Caenorhabditis elegans: one gene and its partners. The protein of the gene in region 2 interacts with the protein of the main gene of each other region in a pairwise test. Each region holds a gene or a part of one and is shown on either strand. Other genes may lie near its edges.

Region 1 (4,430 bases), on a different chromosome or scaffold from region 2:
ATAGTATTGGAATAACTAGTCTCTAGTTATTATATGAAATAAAAGATGGAATCGTCTGAAACAGGGGTGAGCGGCAAACGATTTTTTTGCCGAAAAAATTCGGCAAAGTGTGGTTTTGCACTTTTTTTTTGGAAATGACAGAATTTAATTTCAATCGGCAATATTGTACGCATCCTATGAATGTTCCTACATCTATTTTGAAAAGTAAGCCAATTCTATGAAAAAATATAAAGAAAACGGGAAAATTTTCAAAAAGGCATTTTTACGAGTTTACGTCGTATACAAAATCCCGAAACATTTCCGGCAAATCTGATATCCGGCAAACGACAAATCGGCAATTTGCTGAAATCTCCGGCAAATCGGCAAACCGGCACTTTGCCAGAATTGAAAATTTTTGGCAAATCGACAGTTTTCCGGAATTGAAAATTTCCGGCAAATCAGCAAACCGGCAATTTGCCGATTTACCGAACGGCAAATGCCGCCCACCCTTGATCTGAAATATCCTTGTTTAACTCTTCTCAAAATTCCTTTCTATGTAGCTATTTTTGTACAACTCTGTATTTAGATTCAATGCTCGAAAGAGCAAAATGAAGTATTTATTGAACAGAATTTTTGAGGGATAAAACTAGCCGTAATAAATTTGTAATCTGGGAGAGAAATCAAATCCCTCCAACCCGGAATTTGTTTAAAAAATAATTGCTGTAACAATCAAGCTCGTGCTGTTAAGAATGATATTAGTGTTAGGTAAGTTCGACGATAAAACTCTACTTTTGGAGGCAATAAAGAATTTTTGAGGAAAGAAAACGAGAAAAAAAGGAAAAAAAGAAACAACGGAAGGACGGGTGCTATAAATTATTGAACAATTTTTGCAGAATTAGATACATTTTTGGAAATAAATCAGTCAGCGCTGAGCAGCAATGGGTTGACTGATCGGGCCGACTCCACAGTGTGAATTTGCAGATATTTGCCTTCTTCGACCTTCTTTCTCTCTCCAGCAACTCGTGTGTACATGAAGAAAAGTCCGAAACCAACTGAGGCTGCGGCAAGAACAAGAAGAGCGATCTGAAAAATTGCAAGATATAGAAATTTCAATTGTTACTTTTTAAATTAATATTTCCTTAAGAAAAAAAACTAATGAAAACTCACGATAATGAAGTTTCTGGTGACACTTCGGGAAGCAAGCACGTCACTCGAATCTGTAAATAAATGTTAATTTCTCATGGAATAAAAGGGTTTTTTTACGTCTCAAAACAGCTCTGCAAGTATGAGCTACTGCTGGGGAACATTCTTTCTTGTGAATATCGTCTGATTCGGCAGCATCCAACATACAGTGGCAAAGATCATTGGCGCAGAAATCCACAGAATGAACAACGGCACAGAGATCGAAATTATTAGCACATGAAGCGAGGGTTACTGGAAAATGAATAATTAAAGACTGAAACAATGTTTCGACCACTTACTATTGGCATAAGGACACTTGGAATATAAATTCATGAAGTCACTCTCCATTTTCGGAACTGTCTCAGGTGTAACCAACACATTTGCTGATGGTTTCGTAGGATCAGTGTAATTTGAATCACCATAGGCGGACCAGCCGAGCACTGCGAGAATGAGACATGCATCATCTGCTGCTGCACGGCATTTGTAACCTTCTTCGGTAGGCAAACGGGTTACCATCTGGAAAAAAGTTTATTTTGAAATTGAATCTTATTTCGATTGAACTTCATTTTAAAAAATTTCTGAAAATTACTAACACGATTGCATTCACAAAAATCTTCATCGCATTTCTCTTGACCCTTCTGTTGACCGTAGCAGTCGTCGTGAATCGCACAGCAGTGATTGAGAGCAGCTGAAAATAATTTTAAATTAAGAACTTTTTCGTAATAATTTATTAAAAGAAAATTGCTACCTGCAAGAGAAGGACAATCTCGAACAGTAGCCTGATAGGTATAATTCCGCGTACTTCCTTCACTTCCACAATGCCAGAGCTCTGGTGAAATGAGCATTCCGGTTGGCTGTGATCCACCCGAGCCAAGAAAAGGAGCAACGGACCTCCTCCGTCTCACCTCAAGTCCACTGAATAATGGTAGCAACGTTATGATGACAAGGGTGGCGGATTGGAGGAACATACTCTTTTGTATCTGTAAATAATACTGATTGAAGATTGAAATTGATGCGGAAAGTGGAAATGGGGAGCGCAGAAAACCGTAAACCGTAAACTCCAATTTCACAACAATAAAAAACACATCGGTGCGGAGAGAAAATCGTCGACAAACTAAAAGAAAATTCGGCTGATGGTTTTTTGTTGAAAGATTGTTTAGAAAAAATAAACGTATTTCTTTTTTGTAAAATAGGAAAGATTCCACGAAATTCAGAAGCAGAAATGAGTTACAGCAAACAAAGATACTAGAAATGAATTTATTTGGCTTGTAGGCAGAAAGGAAAATCGAGTGGAAACGGTCCTCAGTTGTTTTCACAAAAAAAATTTCGCGCTAAAAATTGGAGAGAATAAAAAAGTGTGCAATGCGCCTTGCGTGAACCACACAATTTCAGAACTACAGTACCTAATTGAAAATTTTGAAAAAGTGAACAAAGTTTTCGAGGAGTGTGAATCATTGCTGGTTTATTTTTTATGTCCGCGACTTTATCATCAGAACAGAGTACTAAAAATAGTTTTTTTCAACGGCAATGATAGTGTAAAAATCTGTATGGAATCTCCGAAGAAGGAAACATCCAGGAAAACTACGGTATATTAAACTTGAACCACTAATGATAAGTGACGAGAGACTTCGTTAAAATTAATTGAAATCGAAAAAAATTAGCACTGAAGTTATAGGGGGATTACTGTGGTTCGAGTTTTTTTAGTTGACATGAATAGGTTGCATTTATTATATTTTTAGAGTCTACTACATCTACAGTAACCCATTGAAATCACGAAAAAGTTACTCCACTGGGGAAAACGCTGCTATGACTAGAAAATGCATAGCAAGTGAGAAATGTGTCGAAAATGACCTAATTGACAAAATCACCTCATTTTCTATTTACTCATCCAAAATCCTAACTTTTTTCGTGTATTGGCTACACACAAGTGCTCACAAACGGGAGCAGCTTCCCTATCCCACTTGATAGTGCAATCGAGTAGTTTGACAGCTCAACGAGAGCCGTAAAAATGGCCTGATCACCACCACCATAGTCTCCCTCCTTCCCCGCCTACGCCCCTTAAAACACCCCGTAAAGAGATCTCTTCCTGGCGGTAAAATGAACAAAGGAAATCTGTATGGGGTGATGGGAAAACGAAGAAAAGTGGTGCGAGATTAAATGAGGCATTGAGGAACGAACGGTTGCAAAGATTGTATCTTGAAACTGTAAAAAACGAGGAAATAAGAGGATGAAGGATGAATCTACCAAAAAAATTTGAAAGTCGAAAAAAGTTGGCATATTGAAAAGTTCTGACAGTTGTTCTGTGTATCACTGGTATCTGTTCTGTGTACCCATCATATCTCGGACAACCAAATAATTTGGTGGGTGGAGTTGGTTTGTAGAGCTCAGATACCTCTCGAGATTTTGGTAAGTTATCTTATAGAATTTAAGGAAACAGAAAAATCATATTACAATTCAATAGGCTTGCAACAGTCCTCTTGGTCAAAATATCCAGAACTGAATATTGCATAAGCTTGCAAATATGGAAAGCTTTGCTACTGTAGTTTTCCTGTGGATCAACTAAGAACAAAACACAACATTCAAATGGAGAAAATAGAAAATAATTTCAAAAACCATTAAAGCTTTCTGGAATCAAAACATAGAAGAGGAATCCCTTTGAAAATTGCCGATGTTATTTTTCGCACAACCAACTATATTGTTCTTTTGATTTTTTGACTACAGTCAACTTTACAAAATCCAGTAAAATTTTAAGTTTTATTCGAAAATTGAAAAAAAGAAAAAATCTAATAACAATAACTTCAGTATCAACACGTGTTCGAGTTACGCCGTCATAAAAGTTAAAACCACGTGACACCTCAAAAACGAGGTTTACGAGCAAAAATAATAGAGGAGGGAGGATATGATTGACATGAACCCTTCAAAAATCAAATCATAAGTCATTGAGAAGATGGCAGGTTCTTTCTAATTCATTCTATCATCATTTCCGGGAAGTTGGTTCCATCTTCAAATATCTCGTAATTCCGATAAAAATACAGATCTCTGACGAACAGAGCTGAATGATCCGATATGAGTTACGTAGTTGATATCTGATTGTCGACCCGTGAATGGAGATTCATCTAGAATATGATCCTTTGCATGACCTGAAAACATTTCAAAATGAGAAGAGTCTGGATGCCTGCCAGTTTTTTTGTCTTTTTTGTTGACATGCTTTTCAGCGAAAAAAGTTTGACCGAAAATGCTCAAAGATCGAATATTCGCAGACAACATGA
Region 2 (5,357 bases):
GGTCAAAACGTGCATTTTTTTTTCAAATTATTCAGTTTTTTCATGACTTTGCTGCTCATTTTTGACCGATTCTAGACCAAAAATAGGGTGGAAAAACTCGAAATTTTCGGTTTTTCAGCGCAAAAATTGCCTGTTTTCTCGATTTTAACATAAATTTCCGTTTTTCTGAAAATTTTCAGATTTTCCTCGAAAATTGTTCATCTACTCACTATTCGTGAAACTCTGAAATATCTCGATTGAGCTCCCCGATAAGTGCCTCCAATCGCGTATAATTCTCAATCATCTGAGCTTTTTCCATCGTCCATTTCTGAGCTTCTCCGTCTTGATCTCGAGCTTTTGCCACTGAAAGAGCAGCTTCCAACTCTAAATTGTGTTGTTTCAATGTTTGATTGTGTGTGCTCAATTGAATCCATTCTTTTCCTTGCTTTTCAAGTTCAGCTTCAACATTTTCAACAGCTGCCGCCAGCTTCAAATGTGTCTGTTTTGCGTGCTCTTTTTCCGAAATAAGCTTCTCCTTTTCTTGCTCCAACTGCTCATGTAGCTTCTTCCATTCTTCTTGTTTCTTCTGTAACTGAGCTTCATGTTCCTTTCGAATCGTCTTCAGCTCTGTTGAAAAACTCGAATTCGTGCTTCTCAACAGCTTCAGCTCTTTCTCATGCTCTTCATTATTTTTGACAGCTTTTCCTGCGGCAACAAGTTCTTGCTCTTTCACACGAAGTTTTCCTTCAATTCCCTGAATTTGACGAGCCAATTCTGATTCGTGAGCCTGATTTTGAGCCACTTTTTGCAAGAGTTGTTGGCGTTGAGCTCTGAAAAACAGGAGAAAATTCGGATTTTAGGCTCAAAAGTGCAATTTTTTGGGTTTTTTCACATTTTTAGAGCTTTTTTTGGCGTTGAGCACTGAAAAATTGCAGGTTTTTAGAGAGATTTTAAGCGGAAAATTGAAAATTTTTCCAGCAATTTCAGCGTTTTTTTAGCCGATTTTTAAGACCAAAAGTTGAATTTTTTGCTGGAATTTGTAATTTTTGGCGAATTTCTTAAAATTCACCGTTTTTTGAAAGGAATGCCTGCTCGGACTCTTTGAGCTCAATTTTAAGAAGTTTTTAGGGATTTTTCACAAATTTGGAGCATTTTTTTGCGTAAAACTGTCGGTTCTCAGCCCGATTTTCAAGACAGAAAAGTTAAATTTTTGAATAAATTAGGGTTTTTACCGTTGTACAACAATTTAGGCTGAAAATAGTAATTTTTAAAACAAAATTCTACAATTTTCACGGCCAAAATGTCGTTTTTCAGCTGTTTGCTAACGAAAAATCGTCGAAAAGTCAAATTTCGGCGGGAAATTGGAAATTTTCAATCGATTTTGCCTAATTTCCGTCAAAATTGACTAAATTATGGTGCATTTCGACTGAGAAAACGATTTTTCATCAAATTTTGGAGAAAATTGCCTCTTTTTTTGTCAGAAATGCGTGGTCAGCAATTTTAGTTCAGAATTTTTAAATTTCGGACGAAAAAATATCATTCTTGGCCCAATTTTCATGAAATTTCGTGATTTTTCCACGTTTTCCATCGAAATTCTTGAATTTTCGCACAAAATTATCATTTTTAGACCAATTTTCATCAATTTTCACGATTTTTCTCAATTTTCCGCGTAAAAAATCGACATACTGCTCGTGTTTCTCGCGTTGTTCCACAGCCATCTTTTCTTTATTCAATTTCTCAATTTTCACAGCAGATTCCGTCATCTTCTTGTTCAAAGCCTTAACTTCCAGACTCAAATTATTCTTCTGAGCATCAGAATCACGGAATGCTCCAGCCAAGAATTGAATATAAGCTTCATCGAGTTCTGGGAGTCCGGAGAGCTTGTTGAGCACCTTTTTCTGATCCAAATCCTTCAAATTCACCGATTTTCGCTCTTTTGGAGACGATTTTTGAGTTGTTGGAGCTGCTGGAGCTGGAATTGGAGCAGAAGCCTGAGTAGATTCCACTTTTTGGACTTGAATTTCCGGTTTTTCTGGAATTGGAGCAGCAGAAGCTTTTGGTGATGGTTGTTGCTGAGCCGTTGGAGTTGGAGCATTTGGAGCAGCTGGAGCAGCTGAAGCCGGAGCTGGAGCGGCATCTTGTGCTTTTTTGCCCGTTTGCTGTTGCTTCTTTGTCTTATTTTTTGGCTGTTTCTTCTTCTCGTTGTTGTCAGTCAAAAGAGCCAATGCGTCGCGGTTGTAAGCCTGAAAATTTGAAAAATTTATAGATTTTTACAGTTTTTTTTTTGACTGAAAATGCCAATTTTCAGCACACAAAAATCCTTCTTTTTGGAGAAATTCCTTGGAATATTTGTTTTTTTTTTTTGAAAATATAATCGTATTTTATTCAGAATTTCCCCCAAAAAACGACATTTTTGTGCCTAAATTCCCATTTTTTAAACCAATTTTTATCAGGAAAACCGAATTTCAGCGAAGATTTCATCGAAAAAAACAAAAAGACGATTTTTGTGTTGAAATTTTAAATTTACACCTGAAAATTGGCATTTTTGGCCTGAATTTGTTCATTTTTGCCTTAAAAAACCGAAAGAAGCCAATTTTGAACCGAAAACCTTCTTTTTTTGGGAAAACTTCGATAAAAATCCAATTTTTGATAGGAAAATTGTTTTTTTTAAGTGAAAAAGAGCAATTTTGCTCATTTCAAGTCAAAATTCTCGGAAAAAATATCGAATTCCTCGTTAAAAATCGTCTTTTTTAGAATAAAAGTTTGCTGAAAATGCCGTTTTTCTGATAAAAATTAATTTTTTTCAACAATTTTCAGGCACAAAAAGGTATTTTTCGCAGATTTTCAGTCAATTTGATGAGAAAATCCGAGGAAAATTGCCTTTTCAGTCAGAATTCTCTGAAAAATATCCACTTTTCTCGTAAAAATTTAGTTTTCCTGGTTTTTTCGCGGGGAAAAAAAAGTTTTAGGCCAATTTTAGGTCAAGGAAAATCCGGTTGTTAAGCGAAAAAAGTCGATAATCTCTTGAAATTTCACTCTTCTGATCAGAATTCGTGTGAAAAATCTCAATTTTTCCACGAAAATCGTTCCGAACCTTGTCAAAATTATCCTCTTGTCGATTCATGAATATCATATAATAAATTGCAAACACAAATACACCAACACCACCGAGAATGCCGAGAGCTGTTGATGGATCGACGAATGACGAGTCCATTGGCTGAAATTATTTAGCATTTTTAGAAATTTTATAGAAAAAAGTGGGAAAATGGAGAAATTATCGAAATTCGGAATTTTTAATCGAAAAAATCGAGTTTTTGAGTAAAAAATCTCTATGAAAACGTGTAAAATTCGAAATTTTCGAAAAAAATGGCACTTTTTCAGTGTAAAACCCTGAAAAATCGATTTTATTTCGAAAATATCAAATTTCCCACATTTTCATAGAGATTTTTTACTCAAAAACTCGTTTTTTTCGATTAAAAATTCCGAATTTCGAGCTATTTTCAATGGATTTCTCGTTTTTAGTGGAATTTTCTATGTTTCTTCTCTGAAAATTATCGATATTTCAGCTTTAAAATATCTGAAAAGTTGAAAAATGACTCCTGTGTCGATTTACGCGGCTCTTGTGTACTCCTCGTGGAGAAGAGTTACAATTTTAGTAAAAATATCCAAAAATGCCGCATTTTTACTATAACTGTACAAATCTTCTCTTCTCCTCGAGAAGTACACAAGAGCTGCGTAAATCGACAAAGGAGTCATTTTTCAACTTTTCACATATTTTTAAAGCTGAATATCGATAATTTCCAAGAAAAAATATGGGATTTAATGTGAAAAATTGAGTTTTCAATAGAAAATTCCACTAAAATACCTCGAAATTTGAATTTTTTAATAAAAAAAAATCGAGTTTTTGAGTAGAAAATTCCACTACAACCGAGAAATTTCTTCGCTGAGATGCCAGTTTTTCGGGAAAATCCATTTCAAAGTTGAAAATTCTTCCAAAAAAAAAAAAGTGGCATTTCGAGCACTTTTCTTTACTTTCGGGGACGGCAACTGAGAATTTCACACAGAGATCGGCAAAGTTGAAATGGTGGTGATAAAAATGACAATAATAATTGCATTTCCGTTGGGGTAAAGACAATTGCGCGGGCCGCGGTGGAGACAACTTTTATATTAAAAAAAAAGTTTTCGCAGCCCGCGCGCGGGGAACGACAAAGTACACCCGAAATTCCGAAATATCGAGGTCAAATAGAAAATCATCAAGAGAGGGGGTGTATCCCTGTGTTAATCAATGAAAAACTTTGATACTTGAGAAACCTAATAGGAAGAGAAATTGTAGGCTTTTTGTCGTTTAGGAACACACTTCTGTAGGCCCACGTGGTCCCCAGGTTGTCCCATTACGGTTTGATCTACAAAAAATGCGGGAATTTTTTGCCCAACAAAAAATGTGACGTCAGCACGTTCTTAACCATGCAAAATCGGTTGAAAACTCGCGTCTCAAACTCTCCCGCATTTTTGTGTAGATCAAACCGAAATGGGCAGCCTGGCACCCCTGGTGTGTAGGCCTTGAACGTAGGCCTACCTGCCTGTCTTTGAGGCGACCGACTCCGCCTGACTCTCGCCTCAATACGTGTTACGTGTAATTTGATTTTTTAACAAATTGATAGAAATGAGAAAATTTGAAAACTCATGTCAAAATGCAGCAAAGAGGCGAAAGGCAGGCAGATTTCAGGCAGGCATCATTCTCTGAAGCCTTGCCTGCCTACCGGCGGTGTCAGTGGGAATTTTGCTTTGAAACACTCGAAAAAATAGACTAAAACAGTCAGTAAATTCGAAAATTTCAGGTAAAATCCAGTTTTTTTTTTCCATAAGATTAATTTTCTAGGAAAAAAAATTTGGTTTTACCGACCAAAAAAATCCCAAAACTGGGCAACATTAAAGTCAGTTAGAAACCCTGGTTAGGCACCAATTTTCAGAGAAACCTGGCCCAAAACCGGTCGATTTCCTCGATTTTCAGTTCAAAAAACTAAATTTCTTGGAACAAAATCTCAAAATACGGACGTCAAAGCTTCAAAAATTCCAGATCGCTGCTGGAAAAGCTGGAAAAAAGTGGGCGGCGGCGGAAATGCGAAATTCGAGGAATTTCGGGATCTGCTGCAAAGGAGAAGAAACCCCCCAAAAAAAGTACGGGAAATACCGCAGAGACACAGAGAAACAGGGGGCACTGCAGCCACGTCCTCTCATCCCTCCCGATGCTTCTGGACATTCCCTATTGCTCTGTCTGGTGACTCTCCACTCCACGTACACTATCTATTCGTGGGCAGCGCCAATGACAGGCGCTGGGCGCCAACGAGAGATCACGGGAAGCCACAGAGACTCAGAGA
Region 3 (7,767 bases), on a different chromosome or scaffold from region 2:
TTAATTTGCATTTTCACAGGTTTTTTTCTCTCTCGATAGGATATACGTTTCAGAAAATTCACAGACAACATTAGAGTTTTCTGATTTTTTTTACTGGAAAATTTTAAAGAAACTACTAAAATATTCGAATATTCCGGAAGCAAAAATAATGAAAAACTTCTAAAGTACCTTTAAATACATTATCCAAACCAACTTCCAACTGAATACCTCTTCAAAAGCTCAAAACTCTTCTTCCCCCAAAACAACAGTAACCCACAGTAATATCCCCCCCCCCCCCCCCCCCCCACTAACTCTTAACCAAATGCCTATTCAAAACATTCAACTCTTTTTCCCCGAAACTACTGTAACCCCACAGTAATCCTATATGAATATAGAGATTTAAATATACAGAAAAACTGCAAAATACAAAAAAAAAATCCACCGAACGGGTGGTTACGGTAGGTAAAAAGTTTTGCACGTGTCAGGACCTAAACTTGCACAACAAATTGCTCAATATTTAAGTAAGATACATATATCAAAACTCAAATTTGAAACATTGAACTTCCGAAAAATGATGGCTTTTCCCAATTTTTCCCTTCTATGTCACCACGTATGTTCTTGTGAGCTATCGAAGATCATTTCTCGTCTCCATCTATTTCCCGAATATTATAAAGATACGCCAGCTCATCGTAGAGACAAGGCGACCGATGATTGATTAGAGCGCGAATTTGAAGTTTAAATGAATTGGATGATGATGACGAAGCGGCGAGTCTTTTTAACGAAAAATGACGGGTGTTTTGGTAAGAGAGTGAATTGAGATGAAGTTTTTGGTATTTTGAAGTTTTCAGATTATAGGGGATGTAAATAGATGACAATAAATTTATATGAAATTTAGTAATAGCAACAAAGAAAAAAGTTAAATAGGAAACCCACATATTTCTACAAGACACTTTCGAAACATTAGTCAATAAAGGCACTAAAAACATGAACATACAGGGAAGAAATTATGGTGAAAAAAAAAGAATACTGAGAACAGAAAAATTATGTCTAAAAAATTTTAGGATGGGTGATAATGGCAATACGAATAAAGCACCTTGTGGGGGAAAATATTAAAAAATGATGAAAAAAATTAACTGGCACAAATCCTATAATGGGCGACCGGTTCTTTGCATTCTCATTTTTTCCAGCCGACTTTGGAGATGCTTATTGGTTTCTTTTTGCTCGTCTAACGCGTTTTCTTTGTCTCGAAGCTGCAAAATTTACAAATTAGATTTTTTTCTCGCAGAATAATTTTTAATTTTCCAAAAATAAATCGAAAAAGGTAGTTTTTCGATTTTTTTGTTTTTTAACAATATTTTCAAAAAATTCGATCTTTAGAAAATCGGCAAAAATTTTTCGACGAAACTGATCGTACCTCTTTCTTTGTTTGTCTCATTTGAGTTTTTAACTCGTCCAATTCTTTTTCAGCTACATCTGCATTTGATTTGTACCGCTTCATTTGCCCCTCCATTCTGATCACCTGCAAAATAAATGTTTGAAAATATAACTTCTTCAATTTAGAATCTCACATTTCCTTGTTGATTTGTATTTTCTCGTTCCAGATCCTGCATTTTCAGCTTCATCTCGGCGAGCTGTTTGGCGGCATCTTCTGGAATCCAAGCAAGCTTTTAGAAAATGTTCAATTATTCTTTTAAAAATCATAAATAGCTGAGAAACTTAGGACAGAAAATTAACCAATCTCAATCACAACGTCTAAAAATGAAAATTATATCTTACTGAATTGTCGCCTCAAAATGTCCTCCCGTATGTATCCTTTGAAAATACATTTTTTTTAAACAAAAATAATTTCTTCTCTTGTTTGATCAAAAATGGGCGTCGTCGAAAAATTTTTGATGTTTTGGTTTTTTTTAACATATCTAATAGAAAAATTGATAAAGCCAATTTTTGTTATTAGAAAATTTGTTTTCTAATGAAATTTTGTTTATATTGATGAAAAAAAACAATTTTCCTTTAAAAATAAAAAAAGGGCTAAACTTTCAAGATAAATTTTCAATTTTTTCAAAGTATCGGGAAATCACCACCGTTTTTTTCTGATTATTATGCAAAATTTACGAAAAAACCTACTGTTAACATCATCAACTCCTTGATTTGGAATCACATTTGCCGAATCTCGTGCATTACGAGCATGTCGTTGCGTGTAAATTGTCTGTTCCAACTCCTCATAATCTTTTCGCATCTTTTTGTTCGTATCAACAAGTTTCTGGATTTTATCATCAAGACTCGCCGCACCAGGAACCACTCGATCAACCAGTCGAATCGTTTCTCTTTTGAAGAGATATGGTCCAGATCTTCTGAAAAAAAAGTATTTCCATCATATACAGTACCACCAAATTAATTTTCAACTAAAAAATGCCAAGAGAACTCTTGCGTGGGGGAGCATTACTAATTCGGCAACGCAGTGTCGCGCCTTTTTTGTGCCGACAACGAATTTTCGATTCAATCAACGATCCCCCGGGGAGCTACTAATGCTAATGGATTCAGAACATAATGAACAAGAAGAAAGGGGTGCGTCATTGACGAAAAGTGCCGAGACACTTTTTTCGTTCCAAGATGTATAGGGAAACAGTTATTCAAGACAAGGGGCCGGTAAAGGGTGATTTGTGGATGGGCGACAATCCAAATGTTTGATAATTCTGAAATTGCCGAAAGAACCGATTTCCGAATACAAATTCGGCAATTGTGGAATTTTCGAAAAAATTCCAATTTCAAGAATGAAAAACATGAATTGGAAGAAAAGCGTTGTGTCTTCATAAAAAAAATATTTACTACAGCAGAGATTAGTTTTAAACCAAACTTTAAGGTTTTTTAATTTCGGTGATTTTATTTCCGTTTCAAACTAATTTTCTGAGATCAATTAAATCCCGAAAGAACTAAGATCAAAACTTCTCACGTCAAACAAAATGTTGACCTCTTTGCATCTTCTCATTTTTGAAGAAAGCCGTATCTATATTTAGAAGCCTCCCGCGCCGCGTGATTCATCAATATTTCAATGGTTCAATGTTTCTAGTGTTTGTTCTTCTCAACGATGACTTTTTTGCTGCACATCGCGCATTCTTTGGAATAATTTTATTTTATTCTCCAAGATTTTCGAGACATCAACATTTTCAGAAGAAGGCGGCAATGATGATGATAGGGGAAAAAAAGAAGAGGATGAAGACATTTGATTAAGCTTAATGAACGAAAAAGACATACGGACAACAACTTCATCGCATTTTTCCCTTTTTCATGGCCGTCTCCTTCCTAATCAAACAATGCAATGATGACGAATTTAGAAGAAAAAATGTTGAAAAGTTTTGAAAGTCCAAGGGACCATCGGAATACTCTTAGTTATAATATCACCAATCACTAAGATATTTGAAAAAGTCAAACATGAAGTCAACGCGTGGCACATCACAGTTACGAAAAATTGTTCATATTTTAGAATTTGGCTTTTTCCTTCTAACAAGGTATTATTTAAAGGCGAAATAACGGTTTTTAGTGGGGAAATTGTTCAAAGTGACTTCTATAATACTAAAAACCTAACATCATATATATTAAAGAAACTGTTAGCATTTACAGTCAGTTTCAATATACGCATTCAATTTTTTTCTCGAAAACTTGAAAGAAAATTTACAGAGTATTCTAAATATATTTGGAAAAGTGACTCTATCTTTTTCAATCAGTTCTAGACTTTTTTTGAATGCTTTTTTGACGAAAAATTTTCATATATTGCAAAAAAAATTTTTTTAGAAAAATGTGGTTTTTAATGGTTTCTAATCGGTTTGGTCTTTTTTTTTTGGTTTTTTATAAATTTAATTTTTTGGCCCGAAATTTTTATTTTAGTTTCAGAAATTACTAAAACCAGTTTCATGCAAAAAAAAAACTTACATTTCTCCAGAAGCGTTATTCGTTGATTCGGATCCTTCATCATCCGGATCTTCTTCGACAAGACATAGACCATTTTCCTGAAATAATTACTTACAGAGCAATACGAGTAAAACCCCAATTTAAATTTTGCTTTGCAATATTAAGTATATTTTAAAGAGTCTCTTGAAATCAGAACAAAGGACTTTCCTAGCTTCTCAGGTTTTTTTAAAATCGATTTTATCTTTTGCTGGTTTTAACAATTATACGCCCACCTGTATAAGCTGATCTCGCTGTGAAATTTCTTGTTTCAGCTGCTGTTGAGAAGCGTGTAACGCGTCGATGGTCCGTTTTAAAGCTTTAACTTCACTCGTAAGATCACGACATTCTCGAGATGATAAATTCAAGGATGCATCCTTCTCTTCAAGTTCATCTTTCAGAAGATCAACCTGGAAATTAAGATTTTTTCATAAATACTTTCGAATAAAACACCTCATAAAGTAACGTTGATTTCTCATTATCCAGTTGAGAATATAGAAACATGACTTGTTGAACACGATCTTGGAGCTCGATCACTTTATCCTGTGAATTATGAATTTATATATTGTTAAAAACAATTTAGATCACTCACATGCAACTGTTCCTGTGTCTGATTAGATTGGGATGACACTCCATTCGTGTTAGATGTTGACTGCAATTAACAACAAACAGTTTCTCAAAAGGAAAATTTATGTTAATTGGGGTTAAAATATAAAGTAACACGAGAATAGTTAGACATTAATTTAAAAACTTAGATTTTTTTTAATACGGCAGTAGTGAACTCGAACTCTACGAACTAACATTTTTTGGATCTCCAGGAATTTCGGTGTTTATATTACCCAGTCGCGAAAGTTTGCGCAAATAATACGGTACTAGGTCCTGACACGACAATGCTTTGTTAAATAAAAAAGGTATGCACCTTTTAAAAGTACTGTAATATGAAACTTTCGTTACTATGGTATTTTCAACGATTTTTTTTCCTTGTTTTTTCGAATATGAAATTACAGTACTCTTTAAAGGAGCGGTCCTTTTTTTTATTTAACACTAATTTGTCGTGTCGAGAAAGAGTACCGTATTTTGGACGAAAAATAGCGAAATTTATTTTTGATTTTCTAGGATAATTAATTTCGCAAGATTTTTTGATTATAAAAACATTTAAGAAACTTTATTTTAGGGCATCTTAATTTTGCGTGAAAAATCAATAACGAACATGTAGTTTTTCTTTAAAAGAAATCAAGAATAATTTATGGAAATCAGGATACTTTTTGAACTTTTTCAACGAAAATTTATTAATATTAAAAACGAAGGGTTACTGAAAATGAAAAACGTAGTTTCGAGAGTAAAACTTCAACGTCAAACGTGCATTCTCGTTAATAATCGACTTACAGCAGTATCATGACGATAAGCTTCCGCATCTTCTTCAACTTTTTTTTCTAACAACTGATATCTTCCTTGTCGGGCTTGTTCTCGTGTTTCTCGTTTCAATTTCATTCGAGCTTCCGCCTAAAACTTTTAGTTTTTAATTCGAATTTTTCAAATTGTTAAGATACCTCTCTGGAAATTTTGTCTAATGCTCTTTCTTCGGCTTCTGATCGGGTGATAGGTCGCCGGCGACCACTGGATGGGTATGAGCTCATGATTTCTGAAAATTGTATGTGTTTATGGTGTGTGCACAAGAAAGGAGAATTTGAATATTTTAAATGGCGAAAAATCAATAACGAACAGAGAGGAAGCAGCAGTGAAAATGAGTGTAATGTTTCCAACGCGCGTTGTGTCCGCGCGGATTCCGTCTTTCGAGATTTATGTCAATATGTGTGAGGGTTGAGTGAGGAGGAGGGAAATGAGGGAGAACAGCCTTCCGCAAAATTCAGGATTTTTATGGCCTGTGAACATGACAATGAATTTGATCTCTTTTTTTTATTTGATTTCAGATACCTTTTCTTCTCTGTATTTAATATTTATTCTTGTTCACAATACAAAACAGTCTACATAGGTCAATTTCTTCCTAATCCACGAACAATGCAGTTTTTGGCATTTAACCAAGCCCCTAATTCGGTGTCAACAGGTGTTTTTGAAGAGCAGATGGTGTTCTTCTCGTTTCTCTCTTATTCATCGCGTCTGGAACACCGCACGCTGTGCTCTCTACGGCTCTTACTCTCATTCGTCGCGCTCATTTGCCTAAATTGACCAGTCTGCTCGCTGTGCTCTCTCATCGTTCAACCAACATTTCTCACTTTCTTTATGAGGACCTCATACACACTCAGCCTTCTAACTTTCCTTATTATTTACTTTGGCTTCAAAAATCCAAATTAATTTTTTAAATTTCGAACCACTTTTAAGTGCATGTCACTGTCGTCAGTGTTAGTGATTACTCGTCTTTTTTTTACGCAGGTTGCATTCAAAAAACGGAAAAAGTATAGATTTTGAATCTATATCATTAAAATTATTTTAAAAATGAATTCAAAAATGTGTATAACCAAATGTACATAAAAATTATAAAGAATTGAATTGGTCAAATAAAAAAGAGCCATTTTTCTTCAAAAAAAATTGATGGTATGAATGTGCGCTCTAATGAACACTCTCTTCGCTTCGAGACCCGTCACTCTTGTTCGAATGATTTGGCCCGGTTTTGGGGCGGTTTCTTAGCCTCTTTTTAGATTTTAAAGCTTTTTTAAACGTTTTTTATGCTTTTCGTGTTAAGAATATATTTATTTCAAATGCTTTTTCTCAAAAAAACAAAGGTTTTTAGGTCGAAACTTTTCTTTCATTTCTTTTGGATGGGTTTATTCGAAAATTTTAGGATTGAGATACTGTATTTCGCAATTATTATTATTGAAGAACTATTTCAACACCCTTATCTTTGTATTTAATGCTGAAATACTTTCGAAATTTCATTTTACTTCAATTTCAGAAACTCAATCGCACTTCCAAAAGTTAATTTTTAACTTTTCAACCCACCTGTCATGACCGATGTTAAAAATGATGTGAACGTATCTTCGGTGGTCGATGCCGACGGCTTGATCGAGGTTAGTTAATGTACATAATTTATTATAATTTGAATACATTCAATTTTAGGGAAACTATGATCAAGTCGTCGAATCTTTCGACGACATGGAGCTCAAGGAGGAGCTTCTTCGCGGAATCTACGGATTCGGTTTCGAAAAGCCATCTGCTATTCAAAAGCGCGCAATTGTTCCATGCACCACTGGAAAGGACGTCATCGCTCAAGCCCAATCTGGAACTGGAAAGACTGCAACTTTCTCGGTCTCTATTCTTCAGAGAATCGACCACGAGGATCCACACGTGCAAGCTCTCGTTATGGCCCCAACCAGAGAATTGGCTCAACAGGTAAACTTTCTCACTCAGTGTATTTTAGTTATAGATTATTAGCAGATACTTTTAAAGAAAACTTTTCAAAATCTTTCTTTGTAGATCCAAAAGGTCATGAGCGCCCTCGGAGAGTACCTCAACGTTAACATTCTTCCATGTATCGGTGGAACCAGTGTTCGCGACGATCAACGAAAACTCGAAGCCGGAATTCACGTCGTTGTCGGAACTCCAGGACGTGTTGGAGACATGATCAATAGAAATGCTCTTGACACATCCAGAATTAAGATGTTCGTTCTCGACGAGGCCGACGAAATGCTTTCTAGAGGTTTCAAGGATCAGATCTACGAGGTTTTCCGTTCCATGCCACAAGACGTTCAAGTAGTCCTTCTTTCGGCTACTATGCCATCTGAAGTTCTTGATGTCACTAATCGTTTCATGCGCAATCCAATCCGCATTCTTGTCAAGAAGGACGAGCTCACCCTTGAAGGTATCAGACAGTTCTACATCAACGTTCAA
Region 4 (6,608 bases), on a different chromosome or scaffold from region 2:
AAATGATCAATTATCGAATGAATCTATTGAGACTTGGACACCATCTTTCCATTCTCCCAAGCAGTGGTCTTCAAGGTGGCTTGGGGCTTCTTCACGTTGGCGCCTCCCTGTAATTTTTGATAATTTTTGCGATTTTTCATACTTTGATGTGGGACAAAAATGTGTGAACCTTTAGGAGCCCAGTAATTAATTACCGGTAATTTTCAGAAACATATTACTTAATTGAAACCTATAGGTTATAACTTGAAAAATGATAAACAGAAAATTAACGGAACGGGTTACTGTACCACTTAAAGGGGCATATATTGTTATTTAAGGGTCCAACAAACCTTGGTGCACTGACGAACGACTTGTGCGGCGATTTGTGAATAACGGACGTAGTTGAGTCCAGCAGCTCTCCAGGCGACCATTTTTGATTTTGGGGGAAAGTTATTTAACCTTAATTTATACTATAAAATAATAAAATTTTCAGAAAAAGGAAGTAAATTGAAAGGTATGGAGAACAACCTTTAGACTAGAGAAATCTGTAAAATAAAAAATAAAAACTTTATACAGTCAAAGTTCAACAGGAAACTTGATAATATTCGAAAGTTACTGAATAATAATTAGTTGGTCCAAAATGGAAACAAAACTATCAATAAATATTTAATTACATTAAACTTATTTCTCATAGTTTTCAATGATATTCTCACTCCAGAACACTAATCAGTTAAGCTCATGCGTTTGTTGGTTATTCTTGCTCGTATGTTATTGTAAAATCTTGTTTAAAAAACAGCAAAACGTTTATTTAATAACAGAAAAAATAATAATTTTATTTACTGGAAGAGCAAAAGATACAAAAAAATGAATTACGCAATTGGGATGTGCGGGGATTTGGGGGCCGAATTGTGCAGAAACGAAACAAGTTGATTTCTTATGAAGAATGATAGGGGGATTTAGCAAGCAAGCTTTAAAGACACTCAAACGCATGCAAAAAACAATCATAGGAGTGTTGGTGGGTGACGGGGGGAAGAACCAGACAAAACCTCGTGTCAGATTAGTAAAACTGAAACAGGAAAATCGTATAGAAACAGACTATTAGAACAAAAAGGCGGAAAAAGGCAATTTGGGTGGGGGTGGAGGGAAGCTTTAAATACTTTTAGCTTTTGAAGTTTTGTATTCTACATGGAAGACGAGAAGCCAAGGAACGAAATGGGGAGACACAACCAACCAAATGAAGATATTTTTGTTGAAACTTCCAGAAGCCGCGTAATTGTATAAGTTACTAGATTTTAAAATAAACAGAAAAGCCCATCGAAAGTATATCACAAAGCCGGGAAAAGAAGAGAGATAGAGAAGCATTTGAATGTCAGTCTTCAGTGTATTGATTGGATCAAAGAAGACGATGAGTTGATGTTGTTGTTGGGAGACATTATGCTGAAAAACTTTGATTAGTGAAAAATGGACGGACAAAAGACTGTTAAATTTGATAATACGGTAGGAAGAAAAAGAAACACTCACTCTAATTCTAATTCATAGTATAATTACTTGTGAAAAATTACATGAGCACTAAAGAATTTTTAAAAAAATCTTAAATTTCTGCAATCAACTGTGAAATAGTCATTTTTGATGGTATCTGATTGCGAGATGTTGAAGGTGTAGATGTCTGACTAAACACACCGTTTGAGCCATTTGGAGCTCCTTGTGACATTCCTGCTGACGGAGACGTATACACTTGTCCTGGACGGATTGGCTTCACAATTTGTGGAGCATTCATTCGTCGCATGTTACGTTGTCGAACAGCTTCCTTGATTCGTTCAACTTCTTGTTGATACTTCTTTCGTTCTGCTTGACTACGTTGCTTCGAATCACGAAGAGCAGTTTCTAATATTTTGATGCGATCTTCACGACCACGAAGACGAGCTTCCATCTTTGGCAGTTCAACGCGCAAATCGGCATTGTCGCGAACAAGCTGAAAATTCAAGTTTTAAGATAATCAAAATGAGAATAAAAACGACAAACCTGCTTGTGAACCTTCGTCAACTTGTCCAAATTGTTCTCCAAGAACTGAATTCGTTGCTTTTGAGCTGGTCCACTGAGAGAATCTTCTCCCTCGGTGTCTTGATTGGCTTGGCATCGAGCAACAAGTACTCTCATGAACTCCTTTTTCAAATTCTTCAACGTTGTAAGCTCCATATTGACACGATCTGTTAGTGGCTTGATCTCCTTTGCCGCCTGATCCTTCACCAGCAATTGTTTCATTCTACCCGCGTCTTGACCAGATTCAACACGAGCAACATCAGCTGCAAGTTTCGCTTCAGCATCATGCTCGGCAGCTGTACTGCTCTCTTTCGCAGCAGAGTATTCTGAGAAGAGTTTTGAAACTCCGATTCTGACATGGTTCAGAAGATCGTGATCAGGAAGTTGATCATTTTGAGAGGCAATGTCAGCAATGTTGAATTCACGAATAACATTGTAGATTCCTTCTTTGAAATGACGGATTTTTGGACCACATTCGTCAAGATGAGCATTGAGGAGTGATGTTGCTTGGTTCATTCGATCTTCCAAACTCTGGTTATCTTCTTGAACAACTTCCAACTCTCTCTTCAATTTTTCGCATTCTGCTTGTCGAACATCCAAGTTGACAGCAATCTCTTCCAGAGCTGTCATCATTTCCTTTCCTTCTTGCTGCTTGTCTTCAGCTTCTTTTTGGAATCGGTTGTTCTCTTCACGGATCAGCTCCTCGTTTTCACGCATAGTTCCCAAAGCTTCTTCTTGGAGAAGAACTTGTTGTCTAAGCTTCTCAAGCTCTTGCGAAACTTTTTGAATCTCATCATCTTTCTCGTCGAGTTGCTGATACAGTTTGACACGTTCCTCTTCGTACTTCTTCTTCTCTTCGTCAGTGATCGGGCCAGTTGTAGAAGTTAGCATTGGAGGAGCTGGAGCAATCGAACGTTCCATGAGTGGAGTCGACCCACCAGAAACTTCCGACACAGCCATTTGAGCAGAATCTGATAGATTGACCCATTCAACCTCAGACACTGATTCTCCAGCACGCCAGCGTGAAAGTTCCAAAGCCGCTGCCTGGAGAAGGGCGGCCAATCGAGTATTCTTCTCTTTTTCTTTCTCATATCGCCGTTTCCATTCTTCTGCTGTGAGCTCTTCGTTGATTTGTACAACATTCTTGATAGTCTTCGCACGTGCTCCGAACAAAAGTGTGGATTTAGTTTCAGCTTCGTTGAAATGTGACGGAGAAGCACAAATAATAACTGTAGTACGGGAATTTCCTCCTAGAGATTCTTGAAGAATACGAGTCAGTTTGGAATCACGATATGGAACATGAGATTTCTGAAATAAATATTCGTTTTAAGAAGGTCATAATTTAAACAACTCACAGTTCCTTCAGCCAATGCTGAAATAACTATTCCGAGTGCAGTAAGTGACTTGTTGATGTTTTTGGCTTCTTCTAAAACTGTTCCTTGAGCTCCAGTTTTGCTCACTTTCTCAGAACCAGCCAAATCAACAAGATAAAGCTTTCCGGTGAGCTGTTTCTTTGTTGTCTGATGTTCTTGTTTCACAGTAATCAAGAAGACGGAATGAGATCGAGAAGAATGTTCGTTCATGTCTGAAATTTCGTTCACATGTTAATTTGTTTAATTTTAAGTTTACTCACTCGTAACTGCAACCATTCTGTTGGATTTTCCATCTTCGATTGCCTGAAGAACCTCATCGGGTCCTCCAACAAACCGTTCGGTGGCTCCCTTCACGTATGGCACTCGATTTTTATCTTCATGAATGGACAAATTGACCTTCTCGGGGTCTAATAAATCTCGAATCTTCTCGTTGTAAATTTCATAATAGGACACTTTGATGTGAAATTGAAGATTCTCGTCCATACTATAAATGTGGTTAAAGATGTCAGCAACGATACGTGGAATGATTCCCGACAAGCCATTATCACCGATTACTCCCTGTAAAAAATATGAAAATAATTAAATTATATTGTTAATTTCATCGAGCGCCGAATATTTTAAACGTAAAAATTATCAAAAATCTTTCGGGCATTCGATTTCGGAAATAACTGCTGAAAATTAGTTCTCAAACTTTTCTTTTCATTAATCAGTAAAGATTTGCACTGTTGATATTACAACTTGATTGTCTTTGTCGCATTCTACGTAATTATCAAGGTTTTCATAATTCCTACCTCCATTGTATGTGTTTTTCCGGAAGATGTTTGTCCATATGCAAAAACTGTTCCATTATAACCGGATAATACATCCTGTACGATGTGATAAGCGGCTCCTTTGTACACTTGCTCTTGCGTGGTGTTCGGCTTGAACACTTTATCGAACACGTATACTTTTCCCTGAAAAATTCCAACAAATCAATCGATATATATATATATATTCAACTTTGCACTTTTCGTGTACTTTTCAAACAGATGAATGTGTCATGTGAGAGAATTGACACACCTGCATCCCCCGTGCTTCCCGTCCCTGTTGACATAATTGTTCCCTATGACCCCTTTGTATTACTCACCCCAAGCGATATACTGTCCTCGGAAGGGAATTTGGGCAGGAAACGGTCCGCATTCTTCTCCTCGGTCTTATTGAGCGGCCGAATACGACAAAATACCTGAAAACAATATGAAATTGGAAAATCTAGGCGGGGAAAATTAATACCTGGACACCGCATTCTGCTCCGTCTGTCCGCGGCTCCATTTTCAGAGAATAATGATCACCAGTTGGCGGTTTGTAACGGCGCCTATCGTATTAATTACCCGGCTTCTCCTTACAATGCCTGCAATAAGTATAATCAATATGCTGAGTAGAGAACAAGAAAAGATGACGAGATGCAAGAGAAATAGAGAAAGGAGGAAACGGCAAAACATTGCGAAATTTCGGAATATTTCATCACTCGTCTCGTGCGCGATGCACAGAAGCTGCGAGTTTTGTTTGATTGGGCGGCTTTGACAAAAAATAAACTAAAGGCTCATAGATTATGGATAGACAACGGAATGATAACAAAATAACAAAAACTGCAACGTTTGTACTGAATATTCAAAATTTTCACACAGAAAATAGAGAAATAGAAAAAGACTGGCGTCGATCAAACGTGGCACACACAAATTTCACAAATTTATGCATTTTTGGTTAAATTGTTCGAAAAATGAGTTCGGAAAATGTTTTATAATTGAAATAATAGCTTCAAAACAACAGGAAACTTCTGGAAACAATAAAAGTTTTTCCCGCGCGGAAAAATGTTTTAGTTGGCAATTTGTCGTGAAATCTTGGGTTTTTCGAATTACGTACGTTTGCCTATCGTATTTTCGGTCAGATTAATTTTTAATTTCAGTTTTCTTTTTTTTTTCAGCAATGCTTATTTAATTACTTATTTATATTTGACATTTTATGTATATGCGCGAGAATTAAAAATTAAAAACAACTTGCAAAATCTCGTACATTTTCAAAATTTTATACTATAAAATTAACACCATCCAGCAGTGCTCAGTAAACCCGTTCATAATATACCCAGATTTAAACCAAATTAAAACCGTACAAGCCTATATTGTGAATTTATCTGCACAAATTTGGTTTGGATCTACACAAAATCGATTTGGAAATACACAAACCTACACAAATTCAGTTTACATCTACTCAAACTTGCAATCTATGCAAATTAAGTTTGGATCTAGACAATCTTGGTTTACATCTGCCCAAAATTAGAATTTTTCATAATATAGGCTTGTACGGTTTTAATTTGGTTTAAATCTGGGTATATTCTGAACGGGTTTACTGAGTGACAAGAAAGACAAAGTGAAACTGAAATCGCAAATCCAAAAACTAACATTTCTCCACGATACTTGTCTCTTAACTTTTCGGAATGAATATTAGCTTCAATATTATGCAATAACATATGGATAAATGCGGTTTTAAATAAATTTCATAGATAAATACACAAACTAAACAAGATGAGGATATCCGAGGGCAAATAAGGAGACTCAAACCAAATATGGTCATCAAATTGACAATGAGTAATGGCCAATACGACACGATACGGCAGATGGTGAAGGAAGGCGGGGGAGACCGATTCGGATGCGAAAAAGAACGATAAGAGAGAAAAGACACTGCAGGTGGGAGTATTGTGTTCAGTAGATTTTCGTGGTGGGACCTAGAGGATGGTCGGTGCAAAAGCTTCATTGAAAAAGAGTGAAACGAGAGGAGAGACACACTCACAACATTCATTCGTTTGGCGGGAAAAGAGACGAGGGAAGACTTTAGTATTGGGTGGTAGAAAGAGTTGGAGAAAGAAATTCGAAGGGATACAAGGAATGTATTGGCATCGTGAAGAGACACAGAGATACATCCGTGGTTCCCTGTGTTCTCTTCATTTTGTATAATGTTTTATTCTCGGTCAGAGGGACAACGGACGGCCTCTTCAAACACTCACAGAACATTCGCTCACTGCGCTCACTAGTAGAGAATAAAGGAAGTTACGAGAGAATGAAACTTCGAAGATAAATCAATTTTATTTTTTAAAATCAATGTTCGTAAACTTCGAATTAAGTGAAACCGTAATTTGAGATATATGAGTTTTGTTTGATCATCACAGCTACCATTTTCTCGGTC

Evidence for each region.
Region 1: the proteins of tcc-1 (region 2) and F35C11.5 interact in a two-hybrid assay, tested with the Caenorhabditis elegans proteins (one large-scale study listed by BioGRID).
Region 3: the proteins of tcc-1 (region 2) and flap-1 interact in a two-hybrid assay, tested with the Caenorhabditis elegans proteins (one large-scale study listed by BioGRID).
Region 4: the proteins of tcc-1 (region 2) and unc-116 interact in a two-hybrid assay, tested with the Caenorhabditis elegans proteins (one large-scale study listed by BioGRID).

Annotation. Positions count from the first base shown.
Region 1 is NC_003280.10:8,251,453-8,255,882, reverse strand, and holds F35C11.5 (Phospholipase A2), read right to left. Parts: upstream 2,140-4,430; 5' UTR 2,130-2,139; coding exon 1,910-2,129; intron 1,850-1,909; coding exon 1,755-1,849; intron 1,678-1,754; coding exon 1,461-1,677; intron 1,414-1,460; coding exon 1,243-1,413; intron 1,197-1,242; coding exon 1,147-1,196; intron 1,063-1,146; coding exon 898-1,062; 3' UTR 564-897; downstream 1-563. Other genes in the region: F35C11.4 (uncharacterized protein), read right to left, coding at 4,165-4,301.
Region 2 is NC_003283.11:17,852,794-17,858,150, forward strand, and holds the start of tcc-1 (Ribosome-binding protein 1), read right to left. Parts: upstream 3,197-5,357; 5' UTR 3,194-3,196; coding exon 3,074-3,193; intron 2,223-3,073; coding exon 1,666-2,222; intron 810-1,665; coding exon 210-809; intron 1-209.
Region 3 is NC_003281.10:6,923,253-6,931,019, forward strand, and holds flap-1 (Leucine-rich repeat flightless-interacting protein 2), read right to left. Parts: upstream 5,564-7,767; 5' UTR 5,559-5,563; coding exon 5,472-5,558; intron 5,425-5,471; coding exon 5,308-5,424; intron 4,574-5,307; coding exon 4,514-4,573; intron 4,465-4,513; coding exon 4,375-4,464; intron 4,332-4,374; coding exon 4,158-4,331; intron 3,984-4,157; coding exon 3,907-3,983; intron 2,331-3,906; coding exon 2,104-2,330; intron 1,628-2,103; coding exon 1,548-1,627; intron 1,499-1,547; coding exon 1,394-1,498; intron 1,230-1,393; coding exon 1,125-1,229; 3' UTR 848-1,124; downstream 1-847. Other genes in the region: inf-1 (Eukaryotic initiation factor 4A), read left to right, coding at 6,885-6,947, 6,997-7,269, 7,354-7,767.
Region 4 is NC_003281.10:8,350,396-8,357,003, forward strand, and holds unc-116 (Kinesin heavy chain), read right to left. Parts: upstream 4,780-6,608; 5' UTR 4,701-4,779; coding exon 4,662-4,700; intron 4,615-4,661; coding exon 4,519-4,614; intron 4,346-4,518; coding exon 4,184-4,345; intron 3,951-4,183; coding exon 3,653-3,950; intron 3,605-3,652; coding exon 3,375-3,604; intron 3,328-3,374; coding exon 2,002-3,327; intron 1,952-2,001; coding exon 1,660-1,951; intron 1,417-1,659; coding exon 1,412-1,416; 3' UTR 769-1,411; downstream 1-768. Other genes in the region: R05D3.6 (Putative ATP synthase subunit epsilon, mitochondrial), read right to left, coding at 24-107, 330-410; Putative RNA-binding protein R05D3.8, read right to left, coding at 6,592-6,608. UniProt on the Caenorhabditis elegans protein: Microtubule-dependent motor protein required for organelle transport. Plays a role in endosome transport. Required for the transport of mitochondria along the axon of motor neurons. Involved in the nuclear migration of hyp7 hypodermal precursor cells.